3 linked regions of the Caenorhabditis elegans genome follow. The protein of the gene in region 1 interacts with the protein of each later gene in a pairwise test. Each region holds a gene or a part of one and is shown in the gene's direction. Other genes may lie near its edges.

Region 1 (5,151 bases):
CCTCTATTTTGACTGGCGCCGCGTCGGTCATCTGACTGCTTCTCTCTTTTTTTCATTCTTTTTCTCTTTTTCTCTCTATCCATCTTTTTTCGGCGCGCGCTTCTCCTGGCGCTTCTCGTGGGCTCTGGGAGTCAGGTCCCTTCTGCTTTTTGGCTCCGCTTCAACGGAGTCATTGAGCTCACGAAAAGGGCATTCCAAGTTGGTATTTTTTGGTTTAATATTTATATTTTCTAAAAATTTAATTATATTGTTATTCATATAGTTTTTTGTAAGCTTAAAAAATGATTGTTTTCGTTAGTATCTAACCACATTGTAATAATTGAATATTTAATTGTTTTTTCCGGTCAGGACTTTACATATTATTCATGTTAAGCTAACTTTACAGATAATCATAAGTTTATGAAATTAACAAGAAAAACCGCAAGTCTTGTACAATACTTTCGCAAGTTTAAGGGTCTGCAGACCGGCCTGGGCTTATGATTGCTCTTAGGATTAGGCTCAGGCTCAGGCTCAGGCTCAGGCTCAGGCTCAGGCTCAGGCTCATGATGAGGCCTAGGCTTAGGCTTAGTTCGTTTTTTTTCAGATTGTCTTGATTTCTTAAAATTCGCGTCATTAGACGAAATTCCCGCTAGGTATAGGCCGCCTCCGACTGCGTTTTTACTTTTTTGACCAATCTACCATCTAATTCTAGGGTTCTTTCATTATCTCTGTCACTTTTTCATTAAATTTGTATCTTTCAAAAGTGATGAATAACTGAGTTAAACCAACACAGCATGGCGCCAATAAATCGTCCGTCGCCGCGTCCTCCTCCCTCTCTCCTCCGCCGCGGCCGCTTCCCGACGCCATTCCGCATATATTTAGTGGATTCTACTGATGTGGAGCCAATGGAAACCGGGAGAGGGGAGAGGCTCCAAACCGGCGGACGGACCCCTGCTGCGACCAGCTGGCGCCTGGCGCGACCATTTTGTTCCCCCTCACTGCATCGTTTACTACTAGTGCAGTCTCTGTCAAAAGAGCACACTCTCTTCCATTTTTTATGTTTACAACAACTCGAAGAGGGCAATCTTAAACTATTCATTGGAATTTTGGAAAACATCGGAACATTATCTAAATATTTTTAAGAAGTCTACGAATTTTGAACTTTTTGAAAAAAAGCAATCTAGCAAAATATTTTCAACTAAATAACTTTTTATCATATGTTGAGGAGGTTTAGAAAGATTGAAAGCACTACAATTAGAGGTGAATTGGAATGTCCTTGTTTGCTCTCTGATTAAAAAAAATACAAGTTCTAGTAAAATAGTTTTGTAGATCCCAATCCAAACCAGAGAAAACTCATGATCTCACAATTTTGGAATAACCCTATCATATTTTTTCAATTCTCCGATGGTACCACTTCCTTTTCTTCTATTGCACCTAAATATTAATATTCCCTTTACTTTTGTTTTTTGTTCACCTTAATCGCAATTGTCACTTAATTCCTCTATTAGTACGCTTCTTGCATCTCTTGGATTTGTTATTCAAATGTTCTAAAACAATTGAGACATACCGTGTAGATAGTTTTGAATTCATCGTATTTTCCATTAATTTTCCTCTTTTCAGACCGCCTGTATGGTGGACACCATGATGAACACAAATACAGATGGTGTCACAGCGGTTCCTCCGATCTTTCCACTACCGTCGACGACACCAAACAGAAATAATAATAATGAACTGGCGATGTTGGCACAGAAGCAAATAGTCGCCGGATTACTGTTACAACAACCAACGATTGTGCAGGCAGCGGTGAATGGAACCAATTCGCAAAAACATTTGGCAGATATTGACTATACGAATGTTATTCAGGTGAGAGATGGGCTCTTTGTGGTTTTGACTCCTTGATTAATATATTGAGTTATAGATGTGAAATTGATTCTCTTGAAAGACTTTTTAGATATTCATGTTCGAGTAAGTCTATCTGTTATTTTTCAGACTCTTCAAGCCCTTGGCACTACAAATCTAAAAGCATTCTCTCTACTTCTTGATCCACAATCCCAAACATCTCAGTTAATATCTGAAGATACACGTCCATCTGCCAGCTCATCACCGTCTTCAACTGCAACTGCAGTATCTAACAGTGGACAATCAAACGCAACATCCACGTCATCATCGTCCACAGAACCCGAATATAAACCGAGAAATGTGCGAGAAAAAGTGTATGCAGATGGATATATCATGTCATTTGATAAGAAATCGTGTTGTGGAACTAAAGAATTTTGGAGATGTGAACGAAAGAATGATTGTAATGCAAGAATGCATTCAGATATCAATACACGAGAAATTGTGAGAAAGTTACATCCACATAATCATGAGAAACCGTCGCCCGAAGAACTTGCATTTTATGAGCAAGATTTCTCTACTCTCCATCCAAATTATTGTCATCCAGTGAAAAGTGTGAGTTTTTTTGAGCTAAAAGATTTATGGTGAATATTCAAAACTTGAAATATTCAAAATAGTTAGAAATAAAAAGTCGAGAAAGAACGAAAATGTATGTACGCCGAAACGTTATATGTATTTCGATTTTTACTAATCGCCCTGCTTGAACTTCCTCTAAAATGATAAATGTTAGACCAATCAGCGATTCGCTCCGCTCATTTTCCAACCAATCAGACGGAGTGGGCGGAGTTTAAAGACGCAGTGGGCGTGGATTTTCATCGCGGGGGGTTACAGGGAAACCAGCCAAAATAAAAAAGTTTTTTTTTAGTTTTCGGTAGATCCTGTAGGCAGGCAGGTAGGCACAACACTTATTGTTAATAAAACATTCGGATTATGTGTAACTGCTAATTTCATGTTTTTTGATTTAAGAATTCCAAAATTTCCCAATCTTTTTTAAATTGAAATCTTTTAGATCAACCGATCCTACATGCAACGAAAACTGAGCCGTGCCTCACATGTATCACAAGCTCTACCAATTGCTCCACAACAAATTAAAGCTGAACCAATGGAAGTTGACACGACAAATCAAACAATTCAAAACTTTCAACAAAACAATAATTTAATGCTTCTCGCCTCAATCAATGCAGCAGCAACTGCGGCTGCAGCTGCAACTTCTGCTGGAATAAGTCCGCCGGTTGTTGGACAGAAAAGAGTATCAACGACTGTGATGCCTATCACTTTGAAATCGGTTTGTTTTTCTTGAATAATTATGCTTTGTTCAAACATCATAAGGTTGGAACTTTTCAAAACTATAGGTTTGAGCCAGAAAAACGGAAATGAACTAAAAAAAATGATACGAATTTCTAAAATTCAGGGCCAAATTCGAAAATTTCGAACAACTTTGGAATTTCTTAATATTTTCAGCAACGCACAACTCCTAAAGAAGAAGAAGATTCATCTCAATTGATGTCACAAGAAGAATTCCGTATCACTTACGAATTGACCAAAAAGCTCATGGAAATGATGAAGCCAAAAACTGAAATTGGAGTTCGATGGCAAGGAGATGAAGGGTCAATTCTTTTGTTCTTATCACATGATAATGGAGCAGAAGAGAATGTCTTCTTTCCGGTGGTTGTCATGAATCGTGATGAGGTAAGTAATATAATTTCTGGAAGCCCGAAAGACTGAAAGCAGAAAACAATCAACAATTATTTCCTAAAAATTTATAATTTTCAGAAATCCCTAATCACTGCGTTAGAAGGATTCACTGGCAAACGTTGCGAAGGAAAACTTGCTCTGTGTTACTCACAGAGGGTTAATGTGCTTGTACATGAAGCGGTAAGCGAATCAATTTTCTAAGACTAGACATGAGCCCTGGTAGAGTTTTGCTACGTGGCGGTGAATATGAGAAAACTCTTCCACTTTTCGAAATTTAGCATTGATTATTTGTATTTGTTGTAGGGGAAGCTCGAAGACCTGTGGGAAAGCTCGAAGATTTTTTCGAAAGTTTGGCAGTTTGTCAAATTTATCCTACAAAAAATCTAAATCAAGTCATTTTTTTCTAAGCATTTCTGAACCTTTCAGCTAATCAGCAATTGGACACACGGAAAACTATTTCTCGTCAACACTGATGCACCGGCTCTCTGGCGTCTAACGCCCGTCGACGCTTTCGGCGAGCCTTTAAACCATGTCTAAGTGATCATTATTCAATTAATCGATAGTTTGGAGTCATGAAATTATAACTTGACCGACTGCAACGTTTCGCTGCACGCTACATTTTATTAGTTGTCATGAACCTATAATATCGAGCTCCCGGAGCAATCATATAATTACAAATTGTAAATTTTTTTTTAAATTTATTCCAGCCATTTTCCCCTCTCAATACCTCTCCCTTATCTTGTCTCTATAATCTTGTCTGTTTCTCAACAAAAAAGCTCGTCGTCAGGTCCCCCATTTCCGGATCTCATTGTGAACTTTTCAGAAAAGTTCGCAAATTTTCATATTCCTTGTCAATTCCAATCTCTATGTCTCCCTTTTATTGTGCTCTTTCCCCCTTATAAAATTACGGAAACCACCCTCTCCAACTCAGGAAAAAACCCCCTTTATATGCTCCTTTTCTTTTGATAAAATGATATCGTTCAACTAACAATTATCCCCTGATCACTTACATCAATAAATTGTTTCTATGAAATAAAAATATATATAAAGTGGACAATTGAACATGAATAAGTAAAAAATGTTGCTATAATGTCACCATTGTGTTCTAGCATTAGTATGTCTAAGTCCATGAAAAATTGAGTACCTAATCGTAGCAAAGAGATGAGAAATAACCAATTTTGTCATCAAGTTCCGAATTCATCAAAAAATATCACAAAAGAGCTCCAACATGCTCCAACAAATACTCATCAAATTTCGTGACATTTTTGTCGAGTTAGAATCTTCAAGAGCCGAATTAATAGATGTTGCTCCTCTAGTAAAAGTGAGTGTTTGTGTTTTATATGACAAAATTAGTGTTTTTTTAATTTTGAAAACTATTCTTACAGCTTGTCGATAAACTCGGAACACGGATGTTCAATTGTTAACTTTTCAGACTGGCGGTCCGCATAATTATGGGCCACCCTGTAGTAAGGGTCGGTCTAGACTCCAATTATACATTATCAAAAATATGTAGAAAGAACATGACGCTCATACAATTGTGGCTGTTACATTGACGATTACATCAAAAACGTTGCTAGGAAA
Region 2 (4,277 bases), 1.2 Mb from region 1:
TTAAAAATAAGAATTTTAAGATTTACTGTAACTTAATTTAGTTTTTCTCGCAAAAATATGATAGCCACATTTTTGAGTTCATCGAAAGTTTCAGAGTATCATCTAAATTCCAAGAAAAAACCACTTCGGCACAGTAATACCTGCCTGCATCTAAGACAACCTTCGCCTGCCTTGTGCCTGAATACGTGCCTATTGCCTACCTTGCCTGCTCAGATACATAATGCCAAAGTTCATTCCAACAAGAAGAAGGCGCTAGGCGGCGGCTTGTAGGCATGTAGGCATGTAGACAGGAAAACGCGCCTTTGGAACTTGTTTTCTTTTTTTTTCAGTTTTTTTTTTTGAAAGTTCGTTCTCAAAAAAAAAGCAGAAAAAGAAGAAAACTTCGAAACCCCTTCCCTGAACGATTACGCAATAATCCCCCTCTCTTCCTTTTTCAAAACGGTCTTCATGTCTGCCTACCGTAATCCTCTTGTAGTCACGGCCAACCTGCCTTCTAATCGCCACAAGCTCATCCGTTGCTAAACGTTCCCCCATCTTGGCATTGGGCAACTGTTTCTTCTTCTGGTGCCATACACAATTGTTTTGTTGTTCCTCTCTTTCCAATTGATGCTTCTTCTTCTTCTCTCTAGAAACCGCTTCTCAAGTGCGCCAAGTGCTCATCCGTTTCACCAACACACAAAAGGGAAGAAGGGGGAACTGTAACCGTCTACTAGTTGCCTAATATACTTGTGTCATATATCCTTACAATTATATTAATATATCTACATGTAAGAAGAAGTTTCATGTCCCTTCTTGCATCATTTTTATATTTTCTGGCAATTTGCAGAAATTATTTTGGGGGATTTTTAAAAATTTTCAACAAAAATAAAAATAGTTTTTCAAGTGAACCAAATATTTATCTATGTTTCTAGCTCAAATTTTGAAACAATTCGATTAGGTAATTTTTCTCTCAGATATTTCAGTTTTCCAGCCAAAAACTGAAGATTTTTCTGTCTTACTGAAATTTCCTGTTATAAATGCAACTTTTTCAAAACTATATGCACAAAAAACACAAAAAAATATTTAAAAAAATACAAAATATTTTTTTCGGATTTTTTTTATTGTTGAACTAAAAATGGTTTTGGGAGAGTTTCGTGAAAATTACCCAACTTTTTTTTGTGGTTTAGGTCTAGGCTTAGACTTAAGCTTAGGCTTAAGATTAGGCTCAAGCTAGGGCTTAGGCTCAGGCTTTGCTTTAGGCTCAGTCTTCCAGCGTAGGCTTCAGCTTAGGCATAAGCTTTGGCTTAAGCCTAGGCTTCGGCTTGTGGGAACGCTCAATAGTTTTGTGTACCTCTCCCCTAAACCATCCCAGAAAAATCCTAAATTTCACTTTCGGTTTCATGATTATCCTCTCCCTACCGTGATTTTGTGCTCTCGGAGCCAACACCTCCATATTCCAATTATTCCCGACATCCGAGACATTGTACCTATTATTATCTGGCGCCGAGTATTTGAAATAATTGCCGGATTGGATTTCTTCGGTGATAACACACCCCGCCCCGACTCGGACGCTTCCGCTTGTTGTTCCTTGTTTGGAAAAAATTCCACAAAATCATCACAAAAATTTTCAGCTCTGCTCAATTTCAGATGGATTCACGGGTATGGCTGCCGCTGATTGGAGCGCATTTGCTGCCTCGAGACATTAGTGTTATTACTCAGGTATTTGAGTCTTGATTTCAAAAAAAAAACTTGAAAGTGTGAATTCAGATGATTGCAAATAATAATAATACATCAATTTCGAGAAGTAGCACCAATAGCAGCAAACCCGAAGAGAAGAATTCGAAAAAGGTAGGAATGGAAAGTTGGTGGCCTAGAAAATTAGAAATCTCGGCCATCTTGAAATTTTTATCTAATATTTTTTGTTCTGAAACCGCCTGAAATTATCTTTTTCGTTTTGAACCGCGTAGCCTAGATAGACACATTGGCAGGCACAATACTTATCTACGATGAAAGGAACATTTTCAGTTTCTCATTGAACGATTTCTCGATGATGATCCTTCACCACCAGCATCGATTCTTTCGCCATCACCCAAGGCAGCCATACCCAGTGTAAGACGCTAATCAAGGAAAATTCTAAATTTTTTTTTTCTGATTTTCAGCCAATTATAAATCCAGCAGTGGAGTTTGTAAACGGAGGCTACGGAGTCAAAAACCCCCTGGCTCCGTTGATCAGCTCCTTCGAAACCACCTCAATTCCGTGTTCAACAGTATCTCCTTCATCCCTCATCTCCTCCAGCAAAGACGAGTTCCAAGATTCATTAACCTGTCACATTTGCGGCAAAAAGTTCGGTTTACAACGTCTTCTGAACCGTCACATAAAGTGTCATAGTGACCTGAAACGGTATCTATGCACATTTTGTGGAAAGGGTTTCAACGATACATTCGACTTAAAAAGGCATACCAGAACACATACAGGTACCTCTCAACACTTTAAAGTACTCCTCTACCTCTGCCACCAATTCATAACCACTAATTTGTCGTTCTTCTTACCCTCCGTTGACTTACGGTTGGAAGACAATTGTCTGCGTCTGTTTGTCTAGCACACTGCTTTTTTGTGGGGTGTCATTGAATCCATTGTAGCGAAGCGTAATATTCCACACATTTTCACCGCAAATTGTCGACGATTCTAACTTGATTTACGGTGGAAAATCAAGGGGACCACATTAAAATTGAAACCGACAACACGTTCTGCTCATTTTAATGTATTTCTAAAAAGTTATTTGAATAGAAAATTGTTTAATAATAAATTCAAAAATAAGCAGACAAAGGCAGGCGTGCCTATCTACCTATGACCTTCTGTATTCCAGGCGTCCGTCCCTACAAATGTGAGCAATGCGAGAAGTCGTTCACTCAACGATGCTCCTTGGAATCCCATTTACGGAAAGTTCACGGTGTCACTCATCAATATGCCTACAAAGAGCGTCGTAGTAAGGTGAGTTGACAGAAAGGTATGCATGTCTGCCTACGCCTGCGTGCCTACTCTCAAAGTAGACTCAAACAATAGACAAAATAGAAATAGAAAATAGGCATGTAGGCATGTAGACATGTAGGCATGTAGACATGTAGGCATGTAGGCATGAAGGTACGTAGGCATGTAGGCATGTAGGCATGTAGGCATGTAGGCATGTAGGCATGTAGGCATGTAGGCATGTAGGCATGTAGGCATGTAGGCATGTAGGCATGTAGGCATGTAGGCATCTAGGCATCTAGGCATCTAGGCACACACCGACCGACAATAACTTCTACATTTCCAGGTATTCGTCTGTGAAGATTGTGGTTATACGGACGAAAAGTTCGAAGTCTATCTATCTCACATCAAGGTAGTACACCCCTTCTCGGCCGCCTACCTTCGGTTTACACAGCTTCAGAAAAAGAACTCATCGATGAAACCCGAACAACTTTCCAAGATCTCCCTATAATACTCACCTTTTTTCCTATTTAATTTTTAATTTTTTTTAGAAATTAGCTATTTTCCAAAAATCCTCCAAATCATCGTCATTTCCCCATTTGTTGGTGATCCTTTTTGCACCCCCGTGACTGATTTATTAACCCCAATGACACTATTTTCTCTCCGTCCAAGACCCTTTTCACCCATTTCTGTCTTCTAGATGATTCCATGATGTATTTAACTTATACCAATGACAACAAATTTTCCCAAAAAATGACACATTTTATTGAAATAAAAAAGTTTCTCCTTTTTTTATTCTTAAAAAATGTGTTGAAATCAATGACTTCCATTGTGACGTGGAATTTCTACGACGTATTTTGAGAGCCACTCGGCAATAAATCCAATAGGGTCGGCAGGACGGCGAAGTAGAACCTGAAAAAAAATAAATGCTTAAAATTGCAGCGGACATTTAACGGGTTCAGCATAATCTCTGAAGCGTGCGCGCGAAGTGTCGGCCGCTTTACTAAAGCCTTATGATGTCGGCTGCCAAACACGTTTTCTAGTTGGCACTTAAAATTTGTCAGTTTCTCGAGTAGTCGACATCTCATGGTTTTGTTATAACCCTAATCCTTATTTCCCGCTAGTGAGGTGCCGGCAGTTATACTAAGATGTTTTGAAATTTTGCTGTCAATAAAAAAGAAAGCGGCCGACATCTCCCTGCTTCAAATCCTAGCCCTAACCCATGAAGAGTCGGCTGCTGTACATGAGTGCTGACTTAAAATTTACTGGCGGCCATAAAAATAGAAGCGCCCGACGTCGGCCGGTTATGCTGAACACCTAATGGCTGATC
Region 3 (4,471 bases), on another chromosome or scaffold:
GAAGATGCTCATCATTATTTCGAACATATGGAACAGACGTCACCATTCTCTGCCAGAATGTCATAAGAAAATATGTACTGTTGGCTGAGAACTCCATCATTCGTAGGCTTTGTACAGTGAATTCCGCGAGTAACCTTAGCATGTGACTGTAGCAGGGAACAGCGATGAGCTCGCACAGCTGATAATTTGTTTTCAGACGAGCAATCAAACGGCAAAACTCGTGGAATGCGGCCTAAATCAGGTATATAAATATGTTTGCCTTTAATTTTTCATTATTCTTACCTGGTCACTAAGCTTCCCAGGGTTCATAATTACACTGACAACTCCTTCAACAAGTTTTTGAACGTAAGCCTGTCGCTCTGTTCCATTGAAAAGCGTTCTTCGAATACTTGCCAATTGAGCTATTATTGTCATCACTTTTTCACTTGATTCTTGTGGAAGCACATTTAAAAGTTTGAACATAAGCTGTACAATTTTTCCATCAGTAAAACTTGCTCTCCATGCTGTTGGGATTTGCACATTACAGTTGTCTTCACTTGTTTCGTCTGTCAAACTTCCTATATAATCAAAAAGTAGACATTGGAGATTCAAGTTGAGAACCGCGTGAAGAAGACCCAATTGGCGATCGTTCAGATTTCTGTCCACATTATCGTTCAAAACATTCAGAGATACCGAGAAAATCTCATATAAAAAATCGTCCCTGAACTGCGAAAGATTCTTGCGATGTTTGTTAACTGAATCCATTCCCGAAGCTGAATTCATGTCAGCAACGAGTAAGGTTAACAGTTGCACGGCCAGCATACTTTCCTCGATATTATCCATGTTGATTGTTTTGACAAGGCTATCAACCGGATCACGAAATGGATATTCAATTTTTGTGTCTTCTGTTTGATTTTCTGTGGGATTTTGATACGTCCATTCTTGTTTCGTGAGTCTTGCAAAAAGTTGGCAAAGTGATGTGACGAGATATGGAGGAAATTGAGGTGCACCTTGACCTAGCATTTCCAATAAATATTTTGCAAGCTCGAGCTTCTGAACAGAAGTGATGCTAGTTTTTCCGCCGAGAAGTTTCATTAGTGTGGTGCTTGCTACCATTGGTCCGTATGGGTACTGAAAATCATTATGTAAATTGTTTAACACTTTTATTATTTCGACTTACATCTCCTCGTGCAAAGAGAAGCATGCATCTTTGAAGGCATTCGGGTGACTCTGACAGTTCCGCAAGGTTACTCTCGGCTCGGTGTCGGGCTTGCGGATCGACACTCTCATATAGATCTTTGCATAGACTGTTTAGTACCTAAAATAAGATTAGAATGCACATTAAGAATTTTGAAAATGCTAACCGGTAATTCATCCATTTTTGAAGACTTCGAATCCGCTGTTCAGCGATTCACTCCTAAAATATCCAATTCAGAAGTAATTATAGCTTGAGAAAGAGGAGAAAAATGTTTTGAAAAGCAAAAAGAATGTTTAAAACGGATAAAATTAATTCGGCGTCTTCCCACCGTTAATTGTTTCGAAAAACTGCAAACTTTGGTGATGATTTGAGTTTCTGAAAGACGAAACATCTTGTCCTGGTGAAGTACACGGCGGATGGCCGATAAAAAAGTTAGGCCATCCTTTCTCATCCTACTCTACATCCCACAGGCTCTCTCGCCACAATTGGCATCTTTTGGCAGTTTCCACTATTTTCAGAATTCGTTATCTGTTTTCTGATAACAAAAACAAGAAAAACAGAATCTTTACGACTACTTCTTTATTTATCCGCTCTAACCACTCATTCTACGCAGATTTTGAATGGCAGAGCGGTGAGTTTTGAAATTTAATCTGTAGTACAACATGCAGTTGGAAATGCCAAAAATATCAATAATTTCAGAGATAAAGATGAAATCTTTAGTTTAAAAAGTTATCAACGTCCAATTGTCTATCATTCTGAATATAATGTAACTGCATTTGGAATCGAACATTTACATCCATTTGATTCTTCGAAATGGAGAAGAGTCATTACACATTTGAAAGAAATGAATCTGATCACTGATGAAACACTCGTTGAGCCAAATCTACCGACATTTGAAGAACTCACTAGAGTACATGATAGAAAGTAGGCACATGAAAGTGTTGTGAATGTGATTGAATCGTGGAATTGGTTTATGAAAAAATCATGTTTGTATGGCCCCATACTTAAATTGAAAGAAAATAATTAAGCTCATAACGTTTATAGTTGACATTCTAAAAAAAAGTTAGATGAGGCGTTCAACAATTTCAACTAATAAAAAAAATTTATTCATATTATTTTAGATATCTGAAAAGTGTTCGAAATCCTATTAAAGCAGCACAAATCGTCGAGATTCCATTTGTCGGTTGCCTTCCACCGTGCATTATTGAAAGCAAGTTATTGCATCCACTACGGTATCATTCCTAGTAATTGTTGTATTCATTTATTTGTGTTTTCCAGTTTACAAGCCGGTGGAACAGTTTTAGCTGCCAATTTGGCTCTAAAACATGGTTGGGCGATCAACGTGGGTGGTGGTTTCCATCATGCTTCTCGTATGTTTTTGTTATTCCGCAAGAAAAATAGACGCTATGGGATTGTACAGCAGCCTATAATTTCAGATTCGGGCGGAGGTGGATTCTGTTTTTACGCTGATATCACCATGGCAATTTTCGATTTGTTTGACAAAAAGGCAATTGCCAACGCGATTGTTGTAGATTTAGATGCTCATCAGGTACTGGAAAAAACATTTGAAAGAATATAAAATACCGTATATTTTCTATTGATGCGTGCGGCACCTTCACTGCTCAACTTTGACAGCATATAACTCAAAGGAACACGTGTAGTCAGAAAATCCCATTCCGCTTTGATCTTCGAAAAATGCGGGAGTTGAGACGCAGACATCTCATTTGATTTGGAATGGTTAAGAACGTGCTGACGTCACAATTTTTCTGGGAAAAAGTCCCGCATGTTTTGTAGATCAAACCGCAATGAGACAGTCTGACATCACATGAAGGAAGTATTTTGCCTAAAATCATAGATGGCCGATATCTGAGCTTTCAAAGTTAGAATTGTCCTCAAATTTTAGCTACCTTACAGTTACGTTAAGAATTCTATAGACTACGGTATCATTTTGGAAAACCATTTGGAACGTGAATGAAATATGTCTAGCCCGTAAAGATATTTCTCAAATATTAGATATTAATTCGAAATATTAATCACAATATTAATTGTTTAAAAAAATTATTAAAATTTAAGAATCCAATTTTTTGCTTGAATCATACTTTAAGGGAAATGGCCATGCACGAGACTTTGCTGACAATCCGAATGTGTTTGTATTTGATGTTTTCAATCCATATGTCTATCCACATGATCGTGAAGCTCGTCAATTTATTAACAGAGCGGTTCATGTAAATGGTCATACGACTGATACTTCCTACCTCTCGTAAGTATTCATAGCGGCTTTCTGCTTTCACTGACCGACTTTATTTAGCGAATTACGCAAACAACTGGCACAGTGTTTAATTGATAGAGAGAAAACTACTCCTCCTGGTTTCGATTTCATTATGTTCAACGCTGGCACAGACTGTCTACTTGGTGATCCTCTGGGAGCAATGAAATTGAGTCCACAGGTGTGTGAAAGCAAGGAATATTGTTATACGAGTTTGGTATTTGGTGTATAGTCTATTTTGAAATAAGATGTTGCATATTTTTTTGAAAATCAAATTTTCAGTGCATAATTGCTCGAGACGAAGTTGTGTTCAATCTAGCAAAATCAAAAGGAATTCCAATTTGCATGGTAACCAGTGGAGGGTATCAGAAGGACAACGCGCTTCTCATTGCAAAATCAATTGAAAATCTCCAGTCAAAGAATCTCATCAGTATCAAATAAAAAAGTTATATCAGCATATCTTTTCCTTATAAATTATTTTTTATTAAACTATTTTTTATTGTTTAATGGCAGGGGAAACTAAATAGATAGAAGGATCAAGTTCAAAATTTCATTTTAAAATCGAATGGATGATTTTGAAACATTCTATATCAACCCGATTCCATTAAAAATAAAACAATCCAAAATAATACAAAGTACTCTGAATATGAACTTTTCCTAAAACTTTCAATTTTTATGAATCCTCGACTCCTCCCAAATTTTCACTTTATGTGGATGTCACTAGGTCATCATCGGGTAAAGGGTCACACAGAGAGACACAGTCATTTCTCGCCTATATCTTTTATTTGATTCTTCTGTCGATTGCGACATGATTTGCTTCCGTACAGCTTTCATTTTAATTCTTGGAGTAGTGATAGGCACGACAGCAAAACGACACAATGTTCGAAGGCATGTCAATGGTAAATGGACTGATAAACATTGTGAAGAACCACCTAGTTTGGTTAGTTTTTGTTTTTTTAATTGAGAGTAAATAGTTTCACTAGCATGTTCTGGATATTGTTAGATATTTTTACATAGATTTATTCAAT

The links. Proteins that work in one complex are often made in the same cells at the same time.
Region 2: the proteins of flh-2 (region 1) and lin-48 interact in a two-hybrid assay, tested with the Caenorhabditis elegans proteins (one large-scale study listed by BioGRID).
Region 3: the proteins of flh-2 (region 1) and hda-11 interact in a two-hybrid assay, tested with the Caenorhabditis elegans proteins (one large-scale study listed by BioGRID).

The regions. Positions count from the first base shown.
Region 1 is NC_003281.10:4,950,525-4,955,675, forward strand, and holds flh-2 (FLYWCH transcription factor 2), read left to right. Parts: upstream 1-1,599; 5' UTR 1,600-1,608; coding exon 1,609-1,842; intron 1,843-1,968; coding exon 1,969-2,430; intron 2,431-2,884; coding exon 2,885-3,160; intron 3,161-3,336; coding exon 3,337-3,564; intron 3,565-3,648; coding exon 3,649-3,750; intron 3,751-3,996; coding exon 3,997-4,107; 3' UTR 4,108-4,647; downstream 4,648-5,151. UniProt on the Caenorhabditis elegans protein: Probable transcription factor. May bind to the promoters of target genes, including micro-RNA genes, in order to repress expression, and acting redundantly with flh-1 and flh-3.
Region 2 is NC_003281.10:3,743,835-3,748,111, forward strand, and holds lin-48 (Transcription factor ovo-like homolog lin-48), read left to right. Parts: upstream 1-1,603; 5' UTR 1,604-1,626; coding exon 1,627-1,698; intron 1,699-1,746; coding exon 1,747-1,827; intron 1,828-2,004; coding exon 2,005-2,088; intron 2,089-2,138; coding exon 2,139-2,454; intron 2,455-2,846; coding exon 2,847-2,971; intron 2,972-3,293; coding exon 3,294-3,458; 3' UTR 3,459-3,738; downstream 3,739-4,277. Other genes in the region: arcp-1 (ANK_REP_REGION domain-containing protein), read right to left, coding at 3,764-3,859. UniProt on the Caenorhabditis elegans protein: Transcription factor. Involved in development of the hindgut, the male tail, and the excretory duct cell. Involved in modulating function of excretory duct cells. Plays a role in left/right patterning of cell fates in the hindgut.
Region 3 is NC_003283.11:10,524,513-10,528,983, forward strand, and holds hda-11 (Histone deacetylase 11), read left to right. Parts: upstream 1-1,671; 5' UTR 1,672-1,797; coding exon 1,798-1,808; intron 1,809-1,876; coding exon 1,877-2,101; intron 2,102-2,298; coding exon 2,299-2,409; intron 2,410-2,455; coding exon 2,456-2,547; intron 2,548-2,613; coding exon 2,614-2,726; intron 2,727-3,282; coding exon 3,283-3,437; intron 3,438-3,485; coding exon 3,486-3,624; intron 3,625-3,725; coding exon 3,726-3,884; 3' UTR 3,885-3,932; downstream 3,933-4,471. Other genes in the region: xpo-7 (Exportin-7), read right to left, coding at 1-232, 283-1,110, 1,160-1,297, 1,344-1,358; F25D1.3 (Interleukin-17), read left to right, coding at 4,252-4,383.